Oreochromis niloticus: one gene and its partner. The protein of the gene in region 1 interacts with the protein of each later gene in a biochemical or structural test. Links are inferred from orthologs where the notes say so. Each region holds a gene or a part of one and is shown on either strand. Other genes may lie near its edges.

Evidence for each region.
Region 2: the proteins of myo5b (region 1) and rab11fip2 form a complex in vitro, tested with the Homo sapiens proteins (2 studies listed by BioGRID). The link is inferred for Oreochromis niloticus from reciprocal best matches to the Homo sapiens genes MYO5B and RAB11FIP2.

Annotation. Positions count from the first base shown.
Region 1 is NC_031972.2:36,569,235-36,577,101, reverse strand, and holds the start of myo5b (unconventional myosin-Vb), read left to right. Parts: upstream 1-4,321; 5' UTR 4,322-4,713; coding exon 4,714-4,740; intron 4,741-7,867. UniProt on the Homo sapiens protein: May be involved in vesicular trafficking via its association with the CART complex. The CART complex is necessary for efficient transferrin receptor recycling but not for EGFR degradation.
Region 2 is NC_031978.2:25,621,622-25,629,497, forward strand, and holds the start of rab11fip2 (rab11 family-interacting protein 2), read left to right. Parts: upstream 1-4,637; 5' UTR 4,638-4,830; intron 4,831-5,546; 5' UTR 5,547-5,770; coding exon 5,771-6,123; intron 6,124-7,876. UniProt on the Homo sapiens protein: A Rab11 effector binding preferentially phosphatidylinositol 3,4,5-trisphosphate (PtdInsP3) and phosphatidic acid (PA) and acting in the regulation of the transport of vesicles from the endosomal recycling compartment (ERC) to the plasma membrane.

The DNA of each region.
Region 1 (7,867 bases):
ACAACATACTGTTGCAGTTTGTGTTAATGAAGTTATTCAATCATCGTGTTAAGGAAATATCACACTAACACACTCTGACACACTCTGAGGTTTTCATAGGTAAACTTGTGCAAGCACAAATAAACTCTGCATCATTTCATCATTACATCATAGCTGGAGGTGGGATGGACAGAATAACATGAACACCTCAGCATGACCACAGTGTTTTGTTTTTGTTTTTTTAAGAATGCTGAGAAATAGCAAAACAATCACCTGAAGGTCAAAATGACTTAAAAAAAAACGGTCTCTGCAGACCTGAAATCACCTGAATAACATATTCACTTAATATTTTCATTTATTTCAGTTCATCTTTATTTCACCTGATCGTGTTTGTAAACCAAACATAAACTGTATATCAAAGATGGACACAGCATCTAGGTCAGTAAAGTGAAGTCTTGCACTCCTCCTACTATGCAGGAAAAAGAAGTCAAAAAGGGAGTCTGACTGAATAGAAGTCTTTGACAAAATGAGTCTACTGCTCACCTGATCTCTGACCTCTGTGAATTTTTCTTGAAACTCCACCCTTTCCTCCAAATATGGTCGCTTCTGGTCCCACAGAAAGTAACATGGCAGCTGCCAAATTCCTAAGAAGTAAGCTTTAAACACTTGTTGCTGTCCCTCAGCACACCTCTGAAAACTGGTGAAAGAAATCAGCTCATCCAAATCTCTGAATCATGCACAGCTACCCTTGTAGAGTCAAAGAATAAAAAAAATGCTTACATGTTTATGCTGTCCATTTTCTTGTGTAACTAACTGTGTCTCTATTGCAAAGACTGACCACAGGACTGAACGGTGATTTGTGCAGCACCAATAAAGATTATTTTGAACTGTTAATCGTGCACAGCTCCTCTGTTCCCAAGCATGAAACAAAGAGCTGGAAAACAGTGATATGAATGCTTGTGCCACATTATATTTCACTGATGTCAGAGGAGCACAGGTTCAGGAACATTAATGAAAATCACAGGTCTGTCAGCCTCTGGTGAGATTTCTTCTTCCGTGTGCAGCCTGTTGAAGTTCTCTGTTGTTCTTTTTCACGCCTGTGTTTCACAGCCTTCACGGCTGTGGCAGCGTGATAAAGCCTGTTGTGGGTGGACCGGCGTCTTGTCAGATTCATGTGCAGGTAAACACCTCATACCAGCAGAAGGAGTGGTTTGGGAGTGGACTCATTAGCTGAGTAAGAATAATAGCTGTGCTCAGACAGGTCTGAGATGAGCTGCTGCTTCCCACAATCACTGTCACAGGATCTGATGCAGCTTCCTTCAGCACATGAGGATCTATTTATCAGCCGGAGAGGATGAGTGGAGATTATTACCCCTACTCCAAGGTAAAGGACCCGTTATCGCCTCTGTACTTGCTGTAAGAGCTCATATCTGTGGTTAATGTTCACACAAAATATTCTCTATAACGTTCAGCCTGTCGGCATTACACAACATCTCTGATAACAGACACACTTTACTGATGTGTTATCAGAAGGAAAAGTCTGACTTACATGAGAACATTTTATGTAAAACCAGCTTTATACTTTCAAATTTTATGTCTGTGAGGAGCTATTACAGGAAATAAAAAATGTGATGGGTGGTGGAGCATGAAGGTCAAATATCTACTTTTTCTGGCTCGATAGAATTTTTAGTTTGACTGTGTTTGTGAGAGATTTATCAACATGTCTGAAGAGAAAAGGATAAATTAGTTAGTTGGAAGGATTCTTAGAGGCCTGGATGAGACACAAAGAAAGCAGCCAAAAATCCTACATTTCCCATAGTGCAGCTGGATGGAGTCTTACTGCACTGAAGCAAAACATTAACAGTGAAAGAGACCCAAAATCTTGAAGCAGAGCGTAGTGCTCTTTTAGTGATGAAGTATTAATATCATCTAAGCAAAAGCACTGTATTTTTAATAATACGACTGGAGCTTGTTTACTTTCTATGCTGCTGTGTAGCTTCATCTGTAATAACAAGGCATAATTTCTCTCCAGATTCGTATTTTTAGATTTATGTCTACAAAGTCTCATGCACAGACTAGTTTTAGGCACCCTTTGGTTTTGAATCCTGCTGTGTTAGTTTTTTGTTTCTGGAGTGACCACATTTAGACGAGGTGGCGGAGTGCAAACTGACCACCCAATGCTAGCTAGCATGTTAGCACCAAGTTACATTCCTAGAATTTTACTAAAACTGGAGCTCAGACTTCTCTGCCGATCTGTGACAATAGTTAAACTCACAGCAACCATGATATTGGTCAGATAATTGCCTCCAGCAGCACGAACGCGGCAGCTACAGCCACCTCTCACCACCATAATAATGCAAACTGTAATAATTAGATCAAACCCAACAATCTTCACAAAGTCAACAAGGGAGAAATAGGTTATAGTAACAAAACAGTTTCCTGTATCAGCCTGCAAACATGTTATTTCTGCAGTAAAGCCGAACATTTTAACATGGGAGACTATGGGGACTGACTCAGCGTTGGAGTCTCAAGTGGTCATTAGAGGAACTGCAGCTGTGCAGGCTGACACTTCATCTTGCCACAGACTAGGAAATGCCTCCTGGCAGTTATTTAAAAGACTGAGTCAACAGTAATAAATTCTACGTCAGTGGTCACCAAGTCTGAGGACTTTATCCCAAAATAACATTTAATAGTGTTTTGCTTTTGTTTTTTTTTGTTTTTTAACGGCTGTCCTTGCAGGCTAACTGACATGCACAGGTTACATCGGATTAAGGTGTAACATGTGACATGTTTGCTGGTTTCAGCCTACAGTGTAACTCCTACTGTAAAATAAATGGATTTATAAAGTACATGATTTGCATTTAAAAATAGAAAGAAACATAAAAATTCTTAAGTACAAACCAGGTGTTAACACAGGATTTCTTTACATCCCACCTCATTATTGCAGCTTTGATTGGTCTGGCCTCTTTCTGGTTCCACTGCATTCAGTTTTTGTGGTCAATTTAAACACAAAGAGTTGAAGTGGAACAAAGCTTAAGGTGTGGAAAGAATGACACGACACGTTTGGATGAATGCTGTGAGGTGAGGAGGCGTGGACGAGCGTTAAATGATTAATTCTCACAGTGTGCAGCCTGTTTGCTTTCATGTCTGTTTGTCTTCTCTTTGTGACTGATTGTTTGACATTCTAGTTGTCACTCCGAGCCTTCAAGAAAACATAATCAACAAACAAAAGAAAGATTAAAAATAGAAAAATGTAAGTTCCTCTGAGGGTAGTTCTCTAATCAACCAAATGATGGTGCTATTGTGACAGCACCACAATTCCAATATTTTGCAATGCTTACTTAGACAGCTAATTTTGGTTATTTTTACTTATATTTTTAACGTTTTTTAAATATATTTGACTAATTGTGGTTTATATAGTTTTATTTATTATTGCTTAATAAATAAACCCTTGCACTTAGTGGTAAAAGTGGTACAAGGTCAGCAGTTTGTATTTATAATATTGACCTTTATAAACAGATTTGGTTGTAACTAGATAAAACATTAAAGAGTTACAGCAGTTTGACCGTTAAAGTGGCCACACCCACAAAGGTGTGTCAGCCAATCACAGAAAAGAAGTTTTAGGTTTTTAGAGGTCATTGATTATAATATATACAAAGTTTGGTGAAGAGTGGAAGAATATTGGAGAGCAGGCAGACAAAAGTATGTTTTTGTTTTATGTATGTATGTTACCAATGAGCTTCTCATATGTTGGAGGATTCCCACTGTGGGGTCTTCCTGCTCCATATATGGCGCTCTGAATTACTGTGAGAAAGACTGAAAGTCATATATGTTGTTTTATTACAGTTCATACACATGATTGACGCTGGATTTGCAATAAGTGAAATAAAATTCGGACTTTCAGAGTTTAGAGAAGCAGCTAGGAGTGATTATTTTAGCGGTTTAGCTCTGTTCACTTAGACCCACACAAATAATTCTATATACTGGAATAAACAGGCAGTGGAATTGCTGCCGTTTTCCACTGGATCCACAAACACAATCAGTCTTGTATTAATTAGTTCAGAATATTTTGCAAGGCTTCCTAATTTCTGAACAGTGGTGAGCTATCTGTACCAGATCTGACTGTGTGAGGCAGTGAATTTTGGAGAGGCTGACATAGTGTTGATGCTTTTACAGGGTTGGTATTCACAGAAATTCAAATAAAATGTTAACTTGGGAATTTTTTTAAAAAAAGGACCCCTCAGGTTTCTCTCAGGACCCTCTGTGGGGCGCCACGCCTCACGTTGAAGCACCCCGCGTCGTGTGTGTGTGTGGTTGAAACCTGGCTTGGAGCCAGGGATCAGCCAATCAGCGGGCAGTGTGGGGAAAACACGGCTGTCAGGAAGAACCGGCCTCCTCCCTCCACCTGCGGGTCGCTTCAGGCTTTTCGTTTCCGTTTTTCTGGATTTCGGGATCCTTCTTCCGGTTCTAACACTTTTCATCGGCTCTGAGTTTACCCTAAAGTATCCGAGGGTTCGTTTTTACCGGAGGAAACACCAGCGGGAGCGTGCTCCTTCGGACCGACACTACACCGAACAAAGTGACCGAAACTCGGCCAGACACCTGCTGCGGGGCATGCGCACTGGAAGGTCTCTGCTGGTTTAGGACCGAACCGGAGCGCAGAGGGACTCTAATGGATCATTAATGGGCACAAGAGGAGCTTGTTAGTGTAGTTTGATCCACCGGGAAGGCACAATGTCCGTGAACGAGCTGTACACGAAGGTGAGTTTACTTTTCACCTGGAAAACAGACGCGCACCTGCTGGAGCAGCTCCAGCCCGAACCCCGTCACTTGCGTCGCCTTTAGCCGCTCAGGTCTCACCTGCACTAAACTCTGAGCATGGTTTATGTTACCTGACGGTGTTTATTCAGATTTTAAAGAGATGAGTCACCTGTTGGGACTTGTGTTGGAACATTAGTACATGGCGCTGCGAGTGGAGAGTGAAGTAACGTTGGAGCTATAAATGTTGACGCTACAGAGGTGGGGTAGGGGGATATTTGGGCTGAATGTAAGAGAGGAACAGGTAAAGCCTGGATAACGCCAAGTAAAGAGACTTTACCGAAGAAATTCCACAGAATGCATACTTTACTGTAAAATGGCTAATTTTTGAATGGAGTCTTGCGTGCGGCTGAGCGGACAGGTGCAGGAGGCGCAGATTGAGTTAAAAGGGACCCGTGTTGGATTTCAGAGTGGTTCACAGGACTCAGGCTGTCTGTGAGGCCGTGCTTGACGGTTTCTGTGATCAGGGAATTATCACTGGTTGAATAAACCTTCAGAGCGAGACCGGAAGCTGGATTTCTGCTGGAAGTTTGAACCTGTTATCAGCCTGGAAAAGCAGCATTATTACACTCACTGATGATTCATCACTCAGATCACTGACAGCCCATCATCTGCTCACCTGCACATCCGTGATTAATGATTAAAGCTCATTTTCTATAATAAGCAACAAAAGAAAATCAGAGATGAAGTCATTGTCTTATCTAATGTCTTCATCCTTCAGCCACACGCACATGCACACAGTCAGATCATTAAATTTGTTGTGTTTGTCTTCCAGCTTAATATTCTTCAGCATCATAAACCGACAGGCAGAAATGGGAGAGAGAATAAAAACATAAAACAGCTGATGAGTAACAGGAAGAAAATGCTCAGACAAAAACAAAACAAAATAAAAAAAGAATAAAAGCAGAGAGACTCTAATGCATTGTGGGGATTGTAGGATTCAGCAGTGTTGTGGGTTCAGTCAGGCTGGGCTCTGTCCATCCTCTGATGGTTGGATTTCTTTGATTCGAGGATTCGACTTTGTTGTGTTCTACTCTTTAATCTGAGCTTCGTTCCCGGTCTAATCTGTGACTCTTTATTAACTCAGCAGGAACCTGTTTGAATGTTTGTGAACTTGTTAACCTCGCCTCAGCTTGAGTGAAACCTCTGCTCAATCAGGCTGTCTGAAATCTGAGATGCAAAGACTAAATGAGCTTCCTCCTGCAGCAGAACTCACTGTAGTCCCACTGTAGTCCTTCAGTCTGTACAGTCTCATGAACCACTGTAATCAGGCAGAAAAGTGTCTTCTTACGTCAGCATTTACAGCAGGGGGAAAAGTTGTGAGTTTAATTTTGTGCTTTTTTTCTGAGATCTTCTTGTGAGAGATGAGAATTAAAACTTGTCAGGTTGTTTTGTTTTGTGATCTTGGGCTCTGCTTCATTCTCTGAAAACTTTGAGTGCTGCTGTTTGAGTGCTGGAGTTCAGTGAGTCTTCTTCCTCATGCTGTTATGAGAAGAAAGTGACTCAGAAGCCGACTTTAATCTGTTGATGCTTCATTTTATTACATGCTGCTGATAATGATGGCCTTGACTCTGACACCAGATGTATTTTTAACTGCCGTCATTTTGTCGTAGAGCTCTTCTGCACCAAACTCACTTTGACTTTTGGACCTTTCAGTTTGAACTGAAGCAAAATTTAATGTGTGGACTGTGCAGAAGTGACAGCAGGATCTCTGACAGGTTAGGTTAGGTTAGACTCTGTAGACTAAAGTTAGCCTACAGCTTCAGATTGTGTTGATGGGATGTTTCCACAGCTTATGTTTATAAAGCTGTAGCTTCTTACTAAAATCACATTTTAAAGTTTCCGTGTTGTTTTATGTTGTTTTGCTTCACTGAACCGCATTTCTTTCATCCTTTTTAATTTAAGTGACATCATAAACTCTGGCTGAGACAGTTGTTGTCACAGGTTTTGGTCTCAGGATGAAAACCTCGTAGTAAAGGTGTCATAATTGGAAAAAAGGGGGAAATGAGCTGCAGCAGCACCTGTAGACAGGACGCTGGATCAGCTACGTTTTAAAAAGCTAACTGTAAATAATGACGGCAGGCTGTAGGTATGTTCAGAGGACAGAAGAGAGGTGCACACCTGTCATCGCACCTGTCCATATGTTTAACCTGTGAGCGCAGAGTCTGTGTTCCTGCAGCAGTAACAGTGAAACCTGTGAAGCTGGACCGTACGTGCTGCTGATACAGCTGCTGCTCCTCTACACTGAAAGGAGGCAGTTGAAGTGGCTCAATCATCTGACCAGGACGCCTCCTGTTCACCGTGTTATGTTTTATCTATCAGGGAGGACACCCCAGGACAGACCAGGACAGATTATGTCTCCCTGCTGTCTTAGAAAGGGTGGAGGAGGTGGGTGGGCTTCTCTGCTTGGATCCCTGCCCCCGAGATTAGGGGCAGCGGCTTCTTCCAGTCTTAAAAATACCGATCACATCGTAAAAATTCATTGCAATGAAAAAAATATAAACAGAAACAATCAAACCATCTCTGGAATGGAACAAAAACTGAAAAGTAAGAACTAAATAAAAACACGTGTGCAGGCGTAACCCTGAAGTTCATTCAGCTTTCAGTCGGTCATGTTTAATATTGTTTTACAAACAGTGAAGTTCATTCATGTGAACATTTCCACCAGCTGACAGCAGCACTTGTCTACATCCTCTCCACATTCTGCTGTAACCTCTCTTTTTAACCCATGTCTGAGAAACTGAGCCACTGTGTTTAGATGTGATCACCCAAAGCCAGCGAGGACGGGCGCCATGCAACCCCAACCCCCGCCACCCTGCAGAGGATGAGCGGTTGGACTGAATGATGGAGACTCGCGCAGAAGAAGTCGTCTTCTGCTGTGCAGGCCGGGATTAGCTGAGATTAATTACAGCTCGTTAGTCGCAGCTCTGCTCTGAGGACAGCGTGAGCATATGTTTCAGATTAGAATCAGTCAGACGCAGATTTCCGACCGAACCTCGGCACGTGTGTGTGTGTGTGTGTGTGTGTGTGTGTGTGTCTATGAGTCAGCTCTGAGCTGTAATCCTCCTCC
Region 2 (7,876 bases), on another chromosome or scaffold:
ACAATTCATTCAATTTATTTTATTAACTACTTATTGTGGAAAAGTAAAATTCCCTGTGATTTAATGGACATTAAAATGTGTTCAGAATTTGCAAACTGATGATCATTCACAAAAGTTAAAAGTACTGGTTTGGTACTGGCAACACTGGCGTTGTATTTACTTTGTATCAGGTCAATACCAATACCAATACCACAGCACTAGTGGAAGACACATTTTTAAAAGGTTTTATTATTTGTTGAGCTTAAAGATCTGTCATTACTTTTCTGTGTTAATAAATACACAATGTACACTCGTCAATATTTAGACAAGTGGAAAAAGGCGAGAAGCAGGGTACAGGGTCTGTGATAGACTGTGGCAGTCCAATTTAGAATTAACTGTTAACTGCTTTAGACTGTGGGAGGAAACCCACGTATGCACAGGCACATGTGAAGATTGCAGAACATGCAATCTTCACACAGCTGACCAGGAGATTTAACCCTTTACCAATGCGCTAAGCAAATGTATCAATAAGGTACATTATCATTGCTTTGAATTCAGAAAGGTGCTTGAGGATGAGACATGTAAAATCCCTCCAACTGGGAGTGCTGAAGGTTGCCTCCTGTTGGGCATTGGTGAAATATCTTTAAGAAGACACATCCAGGACATCAGATGCCAGAAGTGCACTCTGATACCAGAATTATCCCTGAGATCTCATTGTGTCACTATCTAGAGCTACTGAACATAGATGAGTCCTGGAATGTGTTGTAAGTCGGCTGTTAACATTTTCCCCATGACAGTCCTGGATGCCTGGACATGATCTCAAGCTCATACCGTGCCTAACTGTGCAATGAGACTCTCCTGCTACCAATGCTCTAATTTCTACACTAGGGATAACATAAATAATGGTGGCGTCAAAACAGTGTCTCCCAGTATACCACAGGTCTGGGCTTGGAAATGCTGACCCTTGTTTCAATCACAAACAACATTTGAGCAAAACTACTTCAACAGCAAAAATCTAAACTATAATCCACAAGTCAGCAAACTAGACACAAGACAGCCATAAACACAGCCGGGCACAGGGCAAGACTATAGTAGAGGCCCATGCCCTCTGGCACAACAATTCTTCTGTTTATACAAGCATCAAATAGCTCCAGGCAGCAGTCCAGCTTCCATAACACCTCTTTACATAAAAGACCTTGTTTTGGAAATGAAGAAAAATAATTCTACACAGCTCAATACATGGTAAACTTAATATATACTTGGTTTATAATAACTAGGTTTAGAATGTGATGACAAAGCCAAATGTTATCAAAAAGCTGATTAGAGCCGCAGCTTTAAAGTTACCTATTTCCTTCTACATGGTCCTGCTCTTTACTTCTGTGTAAAGCACAAGTCATGAGAGGATGATGCAATTTTTTTTTCTAGTGTTAGTTTCACTTACTTTTTCTAAGGTTATGAGGTAGAAATCAAGACCTTTAGGGAGTCACCGGGCTGACATGTGGCCCCAGCTTAGCGGCCCTTTTTAGCTCTGCTCGTCATGCTGCAGTCGCACATCTGCACCTATATATCAAAGCCATGCACAAAAACATTCCTGAGAGCAAAGCAGGGGTGATTTGTGTGCCTTTCTCCTTCTTTTTTGATTAAAATTCATCTGTGATCTGACTGTTCGCTCAGCTAAAAGCTATACCTTTTAAATCAGTCATCCGTCCAGAACTTTGACCTGCACCACATTAAGACCAGCACTGACATCACAACTGTTTCCCCTCTCCCCGCCGAGTCTCATGCCTCTTTCATATATTTTCTCTTGTCCTCGACAGATGGACAACCTTGCAGCCAGAGATTTTTTAAGTGTTTAATAAATGTAATACAACCTATATAGTGTTGAAGAAAGGGCCCTAAACCAGAACCATGTGCGGGAAGTGGATGGCGGCCGTTAGGGGCCACAGCTAATGTGGTTCAACATGTGGACCGGGCCATGCTAGAAGGTTCACTTACATGTTGGACAGTTTATGACCTTCAGCGCTGTTCCCTCAAAATGTAGACAGCGTCCTTACATTACTATTCTCTAGTTTATAGCGTGATATTTTGTTTTTAAATGCACCTCTCCACGAGAGGAGAGTAATAAAAGGATACAGGTGATGTTGGAATGCAGTGTCTTTCATGTTTTTATCTCACAGAGAAGAAGCACTGTGGTATTATGTTCATAAAGGGGGTAATATATGAAAATGTTTGACTTATTGTCAAATTAAGGGGAAGAGTGTCTTGACCCTGGTTGTTTATCTGCATGCCTCTGGTTGTTATTTCATTCAGCTCGGTCCTGACACTGCTAACCACAACAGACAGTGAAGTGCTCCTGAGAAGGAATGTGAGTAGTGATGCGACTGGATAAATCATAAACACTTGGAAGTTACCCAGCAGCTGTGCAGGGCAATTGCTCAAACTGAAGTATTATCAGATCTTGACCTGAGTTGTAAACAAAAATCAGCAGACTCCCAATGGTTTTTGCGGTTTTGTTTTTCTGTAACTTTGCCCCTGCTTAAAATCAAACAGTTACAAATCTAAGATGTGTTTCTTTGTGGGGTTTTTTTTTTTTTTGCTATTGTATTTTAACCCGTCACTGGGTCAGTCATTGAGAACTCATGCTCTGCAGTCACATTTTGCACAATCCCACTTCCATCAAATGTCTAATAGGAGTGTGTCACTTGGATAAAAGCTTCTGTCACAGCTAATGCAATTTTATATTCTCGCTGGGAGACTTACTGAGCTCTCGCTCCCTCAGTACAGCAGCCAACATACTGAAAGAGCCGTCACACCAAGGACACCATCTGTTTGACCCGCTCCCCCCTGGTAGAAACTTCGGGTCCATCATGTCACAGACGAACAGATTTAAGAACAGCTTCCACCCTCATGTGAGAACTGAACACTCCCAAACATTTAGTGACTGCACTTACATTCCTAAAAAACTGCACAGATGTGCCCATATCTCAACTGCTCGATGATCCAGCAGTGCAATATCTCAGCTGGCATTCATTGCATTGCATAATTATTTATATAATTATATTTATATCATTACTATCTGAAATTAGCTGATTTTTACATTGTGACTGGTGCATGTGGTGTGGATGCACTTACAGGTTTTGTGCTCCATTTCTGCTGATAGACTATAAAACAGGGTAGAGAAATAAAACAGACACTGTGTTCAGACAATAATCTTTGACTTTGTTAAATCAAGTGAACTGACTACTATATACTCAAGAGTCTTTAGATAAAATTTACATTTTGCAAATTACAACTGGCCTGCTAATTTCTAGAAATATCCACAATGGTCTACAACTAAATGGAGTGGGATTTCATTTGTATTATGGATATGTGTTTACACACGTCTAAACTAGTTACACAAACACATCAAAAAGTTTGATAAAGATGCATTATCCCCTCAAAAGGGTACTTATTAAGGTGTGTTCGGAAAATATACACAGGATGCTTTATAATATTACATTTATTATATTTTATATTTTGTAATTGTTTCTGAAAACTTAATATCCTAAATTACAGCAAAGGTTTTAAAGTCTCTAAAGCTATAAAATAAATCAAATTCAAATACGTTTTAAGATGAATACGTTAAAAAAATGGCACAAAGCAAGTGGAATACATATTGTTACTTTTTTAGCAGAGTGGATCATACCCGGCCTTACTGAAAAAAATCTTCCAGCTAAAGGAATAACTTGAAGAGGTTTGTAGAGAAAACAAACCTGAAGGTGCACATCAACCTCAATAAATGTAAATATTATATATGCTATATTTTAAAAAATATGTTTTATGTATAAATCCGTTTTAGGTGACACAAAAGCCTTTTTTCCAAGACTAAATGTGATATACAGGCTATGGCCAACATTTTGCCACTTCTAAATGCTTTAAAGCCACAGCTACAAAGAGACATTGTACTTTCATATTCACCTAATGGAACAGCTAATGTAAAACATGAGGGTGAGATCCACGAATGTATTAAATGCTATCTGACTCACATTTTTGTACAGCCTAATATTTCACTAAGCCTTAGCATTTCATTCAGAGATGTACTCTAGATAAGTGCAATAATCTCAGTTTGATGGATGGCCCAGCCGGAGCCTAGGGCCAGTGGTGTGTACATACTGCACTGGTTGCGGCAGAACGATAAAAACCCACACAGGCAGGTGTGTTTGGTTAAGATGCACTTGTCAAGTGGGGTGACAAGCATGTCTGTGTTCATTCAAGTGAACCCCTTATCGGTACCTCCATGTCCCACTCATGAGACAAAAGCACTTCCCATGTTTGTATGATTTACCTCTCAAGAAAATGCGCGAGCACACGCACGCTGTGCACACACATGCGCAACAATATCTCACAGAAAGTGTGTTTGCTAGAAATTTATACATATTTATATATCCTGTCATTGCTGCTTACCTGTACAGTACACCCACAACCCAGCACCAGTACCGAGTATGGAGAACATTCTTCGGTTATGCTGAATTTGTTTTTGTTTTTCAACTTTTTCTTCGTCTTTGGATATTTAAGCAGCTTTCATTGATTTTTTAAAAAAAAATATTCTTTCACCTAATTCCCTTAGAACGCGCGAGCGAGCGCTACCACCTTATTTTGACACCTCAACTTTCACCGGGGTGAGCCGGAAGTGATGTCAGACTAGGAAGTAAATCTCGCCACTGGCCGTCAGCAGTGAGCAGTAATGGACTGCAACAACAGCAAGTTCAGCGAAGATTAGCCGAAAGTGTCGCATGAGTGTGTTTGAGGGAAGAGTTTGTGCCGAGCTGAAGCGCTGAATGTCCGTGTGGTGTTGGTGAAAATGACACCGAGGTAAGAAGCTGTGTGCTTGTGTGTGATGCTCTCTGTGTGCTCACCAGCTAGCCGCATAATGCTAACGTTGTCCTCCAGTCTTAACTGAATTTACCCCTAACAAAGCTTCACGAAAAAGTGACAATTTAATATTGCCTCGCATCATTTAATTGTTGTAATCAGTTTAGTAATATTTACTTTTGACAAACCTGTGGAGAGACGCTCACTTAAAGGGACATTGCATCTTAATGTAACTTACATGGCTACTTACACCACTTCTTTCATGTATACCTGCATCAATGCGTCATCTAGAGTTATCTAGAGCCACAGCCCATGACTGCTTTACTTGAATATGTGCACAGCTTCTTAATCTCAGTCAAAACCTCTATTTTCAGTCTAAACTAATTTGAAAATGATACATGAAACGGTCGCTCTATATCCCACTGAGTGACTCACTAATTCAGTGACAATGACACCAAAATGTGTCACTGGATGAGATCATCAATATCTGCCTTGAACCTCCATCTTAGGGACATATATTTAAAGATATTGTGCAAATCATACAGTGCAAAATGTGATTTCTGCTTAGCCGTATTACTTCCAAAGTGGCTGCCATCAAATTATTAGCAGGCTGCCTGCTTTAATATCAGTTTTCTCTGTGTCTTCATAAGCCAGGCTTTCATTCTTGGCAAAAATAATGATGTTTTCCTGGTTCTTTCTGTTCTGTTTTCTTGCAGATGACTCAGCAGTGGCTTGGACATCTGTGATCTGACAGAAGATGAGACTTGCTCAGTTTGTCAAACTTATGGTCCACTGTAGAAAGTGCTGCTAAACGCTGATATCAGACTATAGTGAATCATGATTGCTGCTTCTTGCATGTCACACTCACTGAAAAAAACTGCTGCATAAATTATATTTGACTTTATTTTGAATGGATTTCAGTTAACAGTTGGTGCTTACAATGTCACTGGGCGAGCAGTCTCAAAAGTGGTTTCCAACCCATGTCCAAGCCACTGTTCTTCAAGCAACTGGTTTACAGGCCAAAGGCAAAAATGGCACCAATGATGCCTACACTATCATCCAGCTGGGCAAGGAGAAGTACTCAACATCAGTGGCGGAGAAGACCCTTAACCCTGTGTGGAGGGAAGAAGCCTCCTTTGAATTACCTGGCCTACTTTTGGAGGGCAACCCAGAAGTGTATGAACTCTGCCTCATAGTGATGCATCGCTCTCTGGTTGGGATGGACAAGTTTCTGGGTCAGAAGTGCATAAATCTTAATGAAATCTTCGATAACAAGGAGAGAAAGAAAACAGAGTAAGTAATAAAAGTGTATTAAATATCACAAAACATCACAAAGGTTCTTAGGGAAGTTTTTTGGGGACATAATCACTACTGCAGTGGGCTCTAGAAGTGATCCATTTATCCTCATTTTTGAAGAAGATTATGTTATAACCATGTGTTTTTGCTCTCTGATATATATATATATATATATATATATATATATATATAGACACACACACACACACACACTTCTTGGAAAATATAATTCCCTCAGATTTTTTGGGACAGAAATACTATTATTAGCAGTTTTTGCAGTCATTGCAAGGTCAATAGTTTCCCTTCAAGAGAAGACCTGGGCTGGTTTTAACACTAACACAAATCATGGGACATACAGCACTTTTTTTTAGATAGTATAGTTCTTAGACATTAGCATCACATGTACATTATTCAGGGTCTTTAGTCTGTAGTGTCTTGTTGGTATAGAGACAGACCTTTGAGAGGAAGTGGAAAATATTTCCACAGCCTTTCCAGTCATAAGTGGATTACACCATGAGCTAAGTCAGTTGTTATTTGTCACATTTGCCACAAGTATTACTGCCATATTAGACTTCACAAATGTGCTGTCTTTTGCATGTTATATTAGGCACTGTGGTCTCAATTAAGGTCATGACCCAACCCTGTTGCGCCACATGATTTAAGTACCATAGTGTTGGCCTTATTTTCTTTGTGCACTTGCTTTAGAAATACACTTTATTAGATACACAAGTTTTAATGTTAAGAGCAGAGTAAATGAAATGCTCTAACAGAAGCACTTCACTTTAAAACTATTTAGCACACCAGTGACACACTTTCATGCTCAGTTAGCAAGGACATGTTGGTTGTACTTTTTTTTTTTTTTTTTTTTTTTTTTTTTTTTTTCCATCTTCATGACACTGTATTGTTTGAGGCTTAGCAATGGATTGGCCTACGCTGCAGAGAGATTATTTTAGAGTAATTACTGACACCAGTTGACCTAACTGAAACTAGTGGAGCTGGACAAACATGTCTTGTTAGCCACTCCTATACTCCATTTTTTGTTTTTGTTTTTTCAAAGGTGTGAATGTAATATGGGCTCTCCTTCAGAGCCAAAGACGCCTGGGATTAAATCTTGGCTTGTTTCTGTACAGTTTAGTTTCCCTCGTGTTAAAATCTGGCCTCTATGCATTGTGCCTTTCTTGGTGCAAAATACATTCAAGTTTGGAAACAGATATTTATCTATGCCACTATATTGGTGGACAATAGTGGGCGTCTCTCTGAGTCATAATTGGGTGACTTGTTAAGGCTGCTTAGTTGCCTTCAAGTAAAGCCATGCCAGAATAAGGTTTGTCCTCTTTAAAGTTACTGAAAAAAGATTTGAGGAGAGAGATCGATGTATAGATGTACATTCAAATAAACTAACACAGTGTAAACCATCAGAGCTTGGAAAGACTCTGCTGTATTTGGCTAAACTTTGGTTGATGAGCCTTAAAAGTCCAACACACACACACACACATTTCTTAACCCTACATTAAGCAAACAGGAACTGCGAAACCAAATTGGATCTGGTGTTAATTAGCTCACTGCACGTTTCGGGGGGGGAAGGACATTAGCTGACTTCCTCTTTGCCCATCAGTTGGGAGAATCACAATATGTTATAATCAGTGTGAACGGGTTTTATTTATTTAGGTGCCTCAACTGATGCACCTTGAGGCTGTGCACTTTTTCAGCAGTGGTTCTGTAACGGATATCGCTGTGTTGCTTGCAGGCC